Cricetulus griseus: one gene and its partner. The protein of the gene in region 1 interacts with the protein of each later gene in a pairwise test. Links are inferred from orthologs where the notes say so. Each region holds a gene or a part of one and is shown in the gene's direction. Other genes may lie near its edges.

Evidence for each region. The genes of interacting proteins can lie anywhere in the genome.
Region 2: the proteins of Per2 (region 1) and Csnk1d interact in binary tests that used the Homo sapiens proteins (3 or more experiments, as listed by UniProt). The link is inferred for Cricetulus griseus from reciprocal best matches to the Homo sapiens genes PER2 and CSNK1D.

Annotation. Positions count from the first base shown.
Region 1 is NC_048595.1:442,946,351-442,949,993, reverse strand, and holds part of Per2 (period circadian protein homolog 2), read left to right. Parts: intron 1-648; coding exon 649-1,454; intron 1,455-2,785; coding exon 2,786-2,972; intron 2,973-3,643. UniProt on the Homo sapiens protein: Transcriptional repressor which forms a core component of the circadian clock.
Region 2 is NC_048600.1:133,470,339-133,474,458, reverse strand, and holds the start of Csnk1d (casein kinase I), read left to right. Parts: upstream 1-1,312; 5' UTR 1,313-1,623; coding exon 1,624-1,699; intron 1,700-4,120. UniProt on the Homo sapiens protein: Essential serine/threonine-protein kinase that regulates diverse cellular growth and survival processes including Wnt signaling, DNA repair and circadian rhythms. It can phosphorylate a large number of proteins.

The DNA of each region.
Region 1 (3,643 bases):
TACAGAGATATGAATTTGGAGGTCAGTTTGCTACTATATATAATTAGCAAAACAATAATAATAGGTTTACTCCTGGGACCTATGACCTCACCAACATGGGTTCTTGGCCAGACTTGCAGTATCAGGCATGCCTTTCCTCCTGTGGAGGGGACCTTAAATTGAGTCAGAAAGTGGTATTGGTTGCCCATAACATCCATGCCAGTGTTGCACCCAAGGGCATTTCTTGTCACACTTGTGATTATTGTAGTTCATGGATAGATTGGACTGTTGTTGGTAACTTTACCCCTCAGCAACCCACATAGCAACTAGGCAGCAGTGAGGATACTTCCTGGTCCATCTCAACTTAACTTCTCCTTGGACACAGGACCTTTAAGGTGCTTATGAGACAGGGCACAGGACTTGGAGGAGAAGAGAGGAATACAGCTTTGTAACTAAAGATGCACCTTCAAGTTGATGGAATTCAATTTTATGAAAAACCTACCTCAGGTCCTCTCACTGGCTATGGAATGAGAAAAACCGAGTGTTGTTTCTAGGCTGTGAAACTCAGAGGTGCTGTCAGGTGTCTGGCATTTACACTTGCTGTGAGTTGACATAGTACGGCTTGCAGCTACTTTTCAGTTTTCACCCTGATTGTTTTTCCACATTTAGCTACCCCAGGACTAAGAAATACTTCCGGAATAGAGTCATCTTGGAAAAAAACTGGAAAGAACAGAAAACTGAAGTCCAAGCGTGTCAAGACTCAGGACTCTTCTGAGAGCACAGGATCTGGAGGACCTGTGTCCCACCGTCCTCCCCTCGTGGGCCTGAATGCCACAGCCTGGTCACCCTCTGACACATCCCAGTCCAGTTGCCCCTCTGCACCCTTCCCTGCCTCAGTGCCAGCTTACCCTCTGCCTGTGTTCCAGGCACCTGGAATAGTGTCTACACCAGGGACTGTGGGGGCACCACCTGCACCTGCCCACCCCGGCTTCACCATGCCTGTTGTGCCTATGGGCACCCACCCCGAGTTTGCAGTGCAGCCCCTGACATTTGCTGCCCCCTTGACTCCAGTCATGGCCTTCATGCTACCCAGCTACCCTTTCCCACCAGCAACCCCAAACCTGCCTCAGGCCTTCTTCCCCAGCCAGCCCCCCTTTCCAGCCCACCCCACACTTGCCTCTGAAGTAGCTCCTGCCTCCCAGGCTGAGTTCCCCAGTCGGACCTCGGTGCTCAGACAGTCATGCACTTGTCCAGCCACCCCTCCAGCAGGCACCGTGGCCTCAGGCAGGGCCTCTCCACCACTCTTCCAGTCCCGAGGCAGCAGTCCCCTGCAGCTTAACCTGCTTCAGCTAGAGGAGGCACCTGAGAGCAGCATTGGAGCCCCAGGGACCTTGGGGACCACAGGGACAGCAGCTTCTGGTCTGGACTGCACGGCTGGCACGTCTCGAGATCGGCAGCCAAAGGCACCTCCAACAGTAAGGATTCTGTGCTGTGCCTCCTTCCTTTCAGGCAGTAGGCTGAACCACATGGTGGTCAGCACATACCCTCATGTGAGAGAAGGTTCTGGATTGGGTGCTTCCTGCCAGCGTAGAGGCCTGGATTCAAGCTACAGTGTCTTTTCAAGAACATGCCATTTATGGTTATGAGGCCCTACCATAAAACATTATTTGGAGCTCAGTAGGAAGCACATGAGGATAACAGATAATGCCGATGAGGGGACCAGGAATAGTGTGTAACTTTGGGGCCTCACATTTCTAATGAGTCTTTTTGTTTGTTTGTTTTTGTTTTTTTGAGACAGGGTTTCTCTGTGTAGCTTTGGAGGCTATCCTGGAACTCACACTGTAGACCAGGCTGGCCTCAAACTCACAGAGATCCTCCTGCCTCTGCCTCCTGAGTGCCGAGGTTAAAAGCGTGCGCCACCAATGCCCAGCTTCTAATGAGTCTTAAAACTCTTTTGTTTGTTTGTTTTTTCCTTGAGACAGTCTTATTCTATCCCTGACTGGCCTGGAACTTGCTATGTAGACCAGGTTGGCTTCAAACTCAGAGATCTGTCTGCTTCTGCTCTCAGCGCTGGGATTAAAGCCATGCCCTTGTGTGGCTAGCCTTCAAAGTTTAATGAAGCCCAGCATGGGGAGAAGGGACAGGCTCCAGCCTGCAGTGGCCAGGAGCCTGCCTGGTGGAGTACAGGTCCCCGAGGCTCACGAAGATGAGGGGGGTTTCTGCTTTTGGCTTGGAAGCCAATAATCCCTGGTGTGGTAAGGGCTCTTTTCCAGTTAATGTTTTCTGAGAGAGCAAGCTATGTGGTCGCAGCAGCCTGAGTCAGCCCCATGCACCAGGTGGCAGGAGCTTTCAGGAAATGGCGGCTGCCTTTGTAAGGTGTTGGGCTGCTGTTCAGAAAGTGGGACCGTATTCGTGGGCAGTGGTTCTCTCAGAGCCTGTCTGCTCTCTAAGGCCCCAGGACCCACTGGGGCTCAGAGCCTCACTTATGGGGTGGCTCGATACTCAGGAGGCTGAGGAGCATCTTGGCACATTTGCACTGAGTGCAAGCCCTGCCGTCTGCTGTGACTCTCCCAAAGTCACATTTTATTGGGTAGTATCATAGAGTATCAGCGACCCTCTCCCCACACTCCCATAAGTGCAAAATCTGCTCACCTGATAGGTAAAGGCTTGTGCTCCGTGGCTGATCTTTGCACAAAAGCCACCCAGTGCGCTCCCTGGGCTCCACCCCACCATATTGTGTGTTGTGTGCTATGTTGTCCCTAAGCCCCTATGATTGAGCATCAGTGTCTTTTTCCTGTCCCTAAAGTGCAACGAGCCCTCTGACACCCAGAACAGTGATGCCATCTCCACATCCAGTGACCTGCTCAACCTCCTGCTGGGTGAGGATCTCTGCTCAGCCACGGGGTCAGCACTGTCTAGAAGCGGAGCCTCTGCCACTTCAGATTCTCTGGGCTCCAGCTCACTAGGCTGTGATGCATCCCGAAGTGGGGCAGGTATGTTTGTGCTGAGGGCCCAGTGTGTGTTAGGCAGTGTGGGTTTGGGTTGTGTCTAGAATGTTCTGTCCCTGGCCATTCTGCATGGATGCAGCTCTGTCTGCCCTACTTAGCACAGCAGGCAGGCCCTAGCCATCAGAATTCATGGTTCTATCTGTTAGCTTCCAATTTCTGTGTCAGTGAAGACATTATATCTGTGCCAGCCCTTGTTGGACCAGTAGGTGGGTTCCCTGGGCATTGGTTCAACCTCCTGAGTTGGCTTCACATGTACAAACACAACAAACCATCCAACACCTACTGGCAAGGATCTTCCACCTGTGCCCTCAAGACCCCAGGGGCAAACTGTACATGGCCACGCTCAAAATCCTGACGCTTTTTCTGCCATAAAGTGAGCTTTCCCTAACCTGCTCATAGGCTTGTCTACCCAGGGGCAACATCTGGGCATGAATAGGCCAGCAGCTCCCCTCTTAGGGATCTTCTGTGAGTCTAAAGACAGAGTCTAAAGAACTTAGGACAAAGGTCAGGGATTCAAAACAAGGCCCTGCCTGAGCTCAGCTTTGCCGCAGGTGAGAATCACCTCCCCAGTGCTGGCACGTATCCTGTGTTCGAATTATTCAGATTATTAAGATTGGGAGGGGAAGGTGGGCCAGCACAGGCTGTCTTTCCCCAAG
Region 2 (4,120 bases), on another chromosome or scaffold:
AAAAATAGTAAATGAATTCTGTCAGTGAGGTTATTTTTACTAGTGTGGTCAAGTCTGGCTCTGACTCCTGGACTGAGAAGCTGAGCAGTTCCCAACTACCCACCACTCAGGGGCCACTGGTTTGTTTGCCTTCTGGTGTCTTCTGTCTCCAGCCATGCTGTGTAATGCTCCCCCCTGTCGTGACTGCCAGCTATGTACAGGTAGGTACTACAGCACCACCAAAAGGAAGGTGGTGGAGCCAGGAGAGTAGAAGAGCTATGAGCTCCATGTGTTCCTGCAGGGCAATTGCTGGACCGCTTTTCTCGCCCACCAGCCAGGAGTTGCTCTGAGGTGTCACCTGTGCTCCAGACCCCTGTGCACAGAGTGGTGTGGATGCTAGCTGTCCAAATATGAACATTAAATTGATCTGTGGCTCTGTGTTTCTAGCTGGATGGGGTGGGCCGGCCTAGAGAGCCATCTACTTGGGAAGCTGGACCCTAGTTTGGGTGCACCTCCTGTGTGGTGGCTTCTCCAAAGGCCTCCCCAGTGGTCAGAATGGACAGCCAAGTCTTGGGAGCTGGCTATTAGCCTGGACTTCAGAATTCATGTTTGCATTTTCCGGGCAGAATATTCAAATCCAATACAGACCAGAAAAAAAATGTTGACATACATGGTCTCCAGGCAGCTGGCACTGGAGAGAGACCCGGGCCTGGGACACACACTCTACACCCTCAGTGAATTCATCATTTACCTTCTGCCCACCGTGGGTCCTAGGAAGACACTCTTCTTCCATCCTTGATGTGCAAGAAGGTGGCAGGCAGTGGCAGGCCACAACTACACATGTTCTGCAGCCCTCAAAGCCCAGGACTGACTGGTGGCTCCTAGAAAACAGTCTATTTGTGACCCCAGAGCCGTTCCTGGAGCTCCCTCTCTGCCCCGTTCCCCGACCTGCAAAGGGCAGCACTTTAGGGCCTTCCCCAGGCTGTGCAAAATCTTCCCCATCATGTTATTTTGGTCTATTTAGTGGTGTGTTCAGGGGCAGGGTCTCTGCAGCCCCAGTGTGGCCTCGAACTCAATGATCCTCCTGACTCATCATCCCAAGGGCTGGAACTACAAGACGTTCTCTACCACGCACGGTTTAGCTTCCTCAGATTTCTGTTGGACACAAACGGAGAGACCACAGAGACTAGACGTAGTCGTCCTGCGGCAGCGGTGGACAGTGGGACAGAGGAAACCGTTCTGGTTGCGACTGCGCAAGCCGTCAAGTATCCAAACCCCGCCCCCGAGCGCCGTGGCCCCGCCCCTCTGGGTTGCTAGGGGAAGTGACGTCACAGCGCGATGGCGGCGGCTCCTTTAGGCAGCTGAAGGGGGATTTAGGCCCGGAAGATCCGAGTCCATCCGCGGCGGGGAGAGGGTGAGCGGGGCCGGCAGGGGCCGGAGCAGCGGCGGCGGTGCTCGGACTGTCCCATCCGCCCCGTATTGAGGCGCTGAGAGCGACGGGGCAACCAGAAAGCGATGGTGAAAGCGGGGCCGTGAGGGGGGCGGAGCCGGACCGGACCCGCAGTAGCGGCAGCAGCGGCGCCGCCTCCCGGAGCACAGACCCAGGAAGCGGCCGGGCGGGCAGCAGCGAGCCGCACCGCCGCCATGGAGCTGAGGGTCGGGAACAGGTACCGGCTGGGCCGCAAGATCGGCAGCGGCTCCTTCGGAGACATCTATCTCGGTGAGGCCCGGCGCCGTCGAGCAGCCCGGAGCCGTGCGGGCCGGCGGGCGGGGTCCCCGGCAGGCCGAGGCCTGCGTCAGGCCGTAGTGGACACTCGGCCGCTCGGCATCCCCGCACTCCGAGGGCCGGGCTACCGGCCGCGGCCTACATCAACGGCCGCTGGCCGAGCGCGGCCGGGGGCTGGGCGCGGCGGGCTGGGGGGGCGGGGAGGGGCTGGGGCACCGGGGAGGGGGCAGCTGGGCTTTGGGGGCTGCAGGACCGTGGGGGTCGAGATCCGAGCGAGCCCGGGAGTGGCCGGGGCCCCGGGAGACGAAGAGCGGCGTCTGGGGGCGGGCGGGGGGCGGCGGGCTTCGGGAGACGTGGTGGGGTGTCGGAGGGCGTGGGAAAGGACGGCGGGCTCGGGCGGGGGGCCGTGTTGGAGCTCGTCCAGGGGGCAGCGGGGCGGGGGAGGCGGCGGGCTGGGGGTGGGGCCCTAAGGGGGCAGGGCCCGGGCTGCGGGGCCCCAGAGGCGTCAGCATCCTCCCCCACCTAAGGTCACCGCAGTAAACAAAGGCCACGCTCTGCTCCTCGCTCGCTCGGAGGGTCTGGTACTTACTGCCCCTCGCCCCTGCGGGGTGATCCTGGGTGTTTTGATGTGTGTGTGGGGGGGAGAAACGTCAAAACAATCCGAATGGAGCGTGGAGGTGGGGAGTGTCCCAGCCCGAAATGGGGAAATGACGGGCTGGCTTCTAAGGGTTCTTGTGGCTGTCTGAGCCTGCCCTTTTCCACAACGCTGTTTCCAGTTTAGCTGACCTGCCGAACGGATCGTCCACCTTACGCCAAAACAGGACTGAAGATGTCCCCTTTGAGCTCGGTCAGCTCCTGGCCCTTTGGCCGTGGGTCCTCAGTATATGTTGAGCATCTTAAGTTGACTACTGGACACTCGGATGTCAGTGGGGATGAAGCTTTGATTAATGCTGGCACAATCTTGTCCATGTGGAGAGGTTGGCAGAGCAGAGCAGAGGGAAGTGGTGTGAAAGTTCTCATCCCTTGACTCTCAGAATTCACAAGGTAGACTTGAAAATCCAGACTTAGGATTCGACTGCCCTGGGTTAGCTCAAACTTAACAGTGAAGACTGTGTGTGTGTGTGTGTGTGTGTGTGTGTGTGTGTGTGTGTGTGTGTGTGTGTGTGTGTGTGTGTGTGTGTTTGTGTGTGTGTGTGTGCGCATGTATGTAATTACAGGCTTGCTTAAACCCACTTGTTGGGAATTTTAAAATGAACATTTTTACCCCCGTGTCTCCTAGTGGAATTGTAAGTCATTCCAAAACCCCTGAACTTCTGGTGATGAGCATCCTGAAGATGGTTGCCTGTTAGAGGCAAACATGCTCTGCTGAGTAGCCCGGTCTTCTGCGTTTGTGTGGCAGTTGTACCTGTAGTGCAGAGTCAGGAAGAAGCAGTGCTTTGGGCCTTGCCTTTCAGGCTACCCAAGTTCAAGACCTTCCTACTGTGACTCCTAGGACCTTGACAGCTGGCAGTGTGGGGTGGACAACTGGCCTGTGTGGGTAGTTCATAGGTATTTATGGTCCCTGGTTAGCGTGTAAGGTAACCCTGCTCTGTGCCACCACACGAGTGCTTTGAACCTGTACTTCTTGCCATAGTGGCCTGATGAGTAAATATGTTTTAGAGATACTTGGGGTTTGCTTATTTAAATATTTATGATCAAGTAGTCAGCCAGATGCCTTCTCGGCAGTGTTTGGGAGTCAGAGTGCTGGGTAAATGGGAGATGTTTGGCTTATTTATAGAACAATAGATCTTGGCAGGATATAGGAGCTATACTGAAAAGGCAATCCATTAGCCACCCTTTCATGGGCACCAGAAAATAGGTATTCTGAAACTTTTTGTTCCCTGAGATTTTGCCAAGCAGTTTTGTACTTTGTGAAGATTGATCCTAACAACCAAATTGTGATGTGGAGTCACATGCCATTCAGAGAGGTAAACTCTTCTCTGGGAAGGGTGCAGGCTCTGTCTGGGGATGCAGCTTACTCAGTCACATCTTTTCAGACCTGCCTGGTTCCTGCAGCCTCATGTCCCAACCAGAGCAGTGGGACTTGAGGGAAGGGCTGAGAGGCTGCCTTGAACCAGTGCATACACATCCTGCCCAGGATCTTCTACAGGCATGTGGGTGGTGGCCCATCTGATCATGTGAGGTAACTTTTTCCAGGAGTTCCATTTTGATGACTTTTGATGTGAGGTGGATTGCTGGGATCCTAGGGGTCAGAGTCCCTGGCTTACCTGTCTATCATGGTGTGTGGGGTTTTCGGTTGTTGTGTTTTGTTTTAAGACAGGATCTCACCATGCAGCCCTGGCTGGCCTTAGACTCAGAGATCTGCCTGCCTCTGCTGTGTGCCACTGTGCTGGGGCCCGGTTGTGCCTCTTGTGT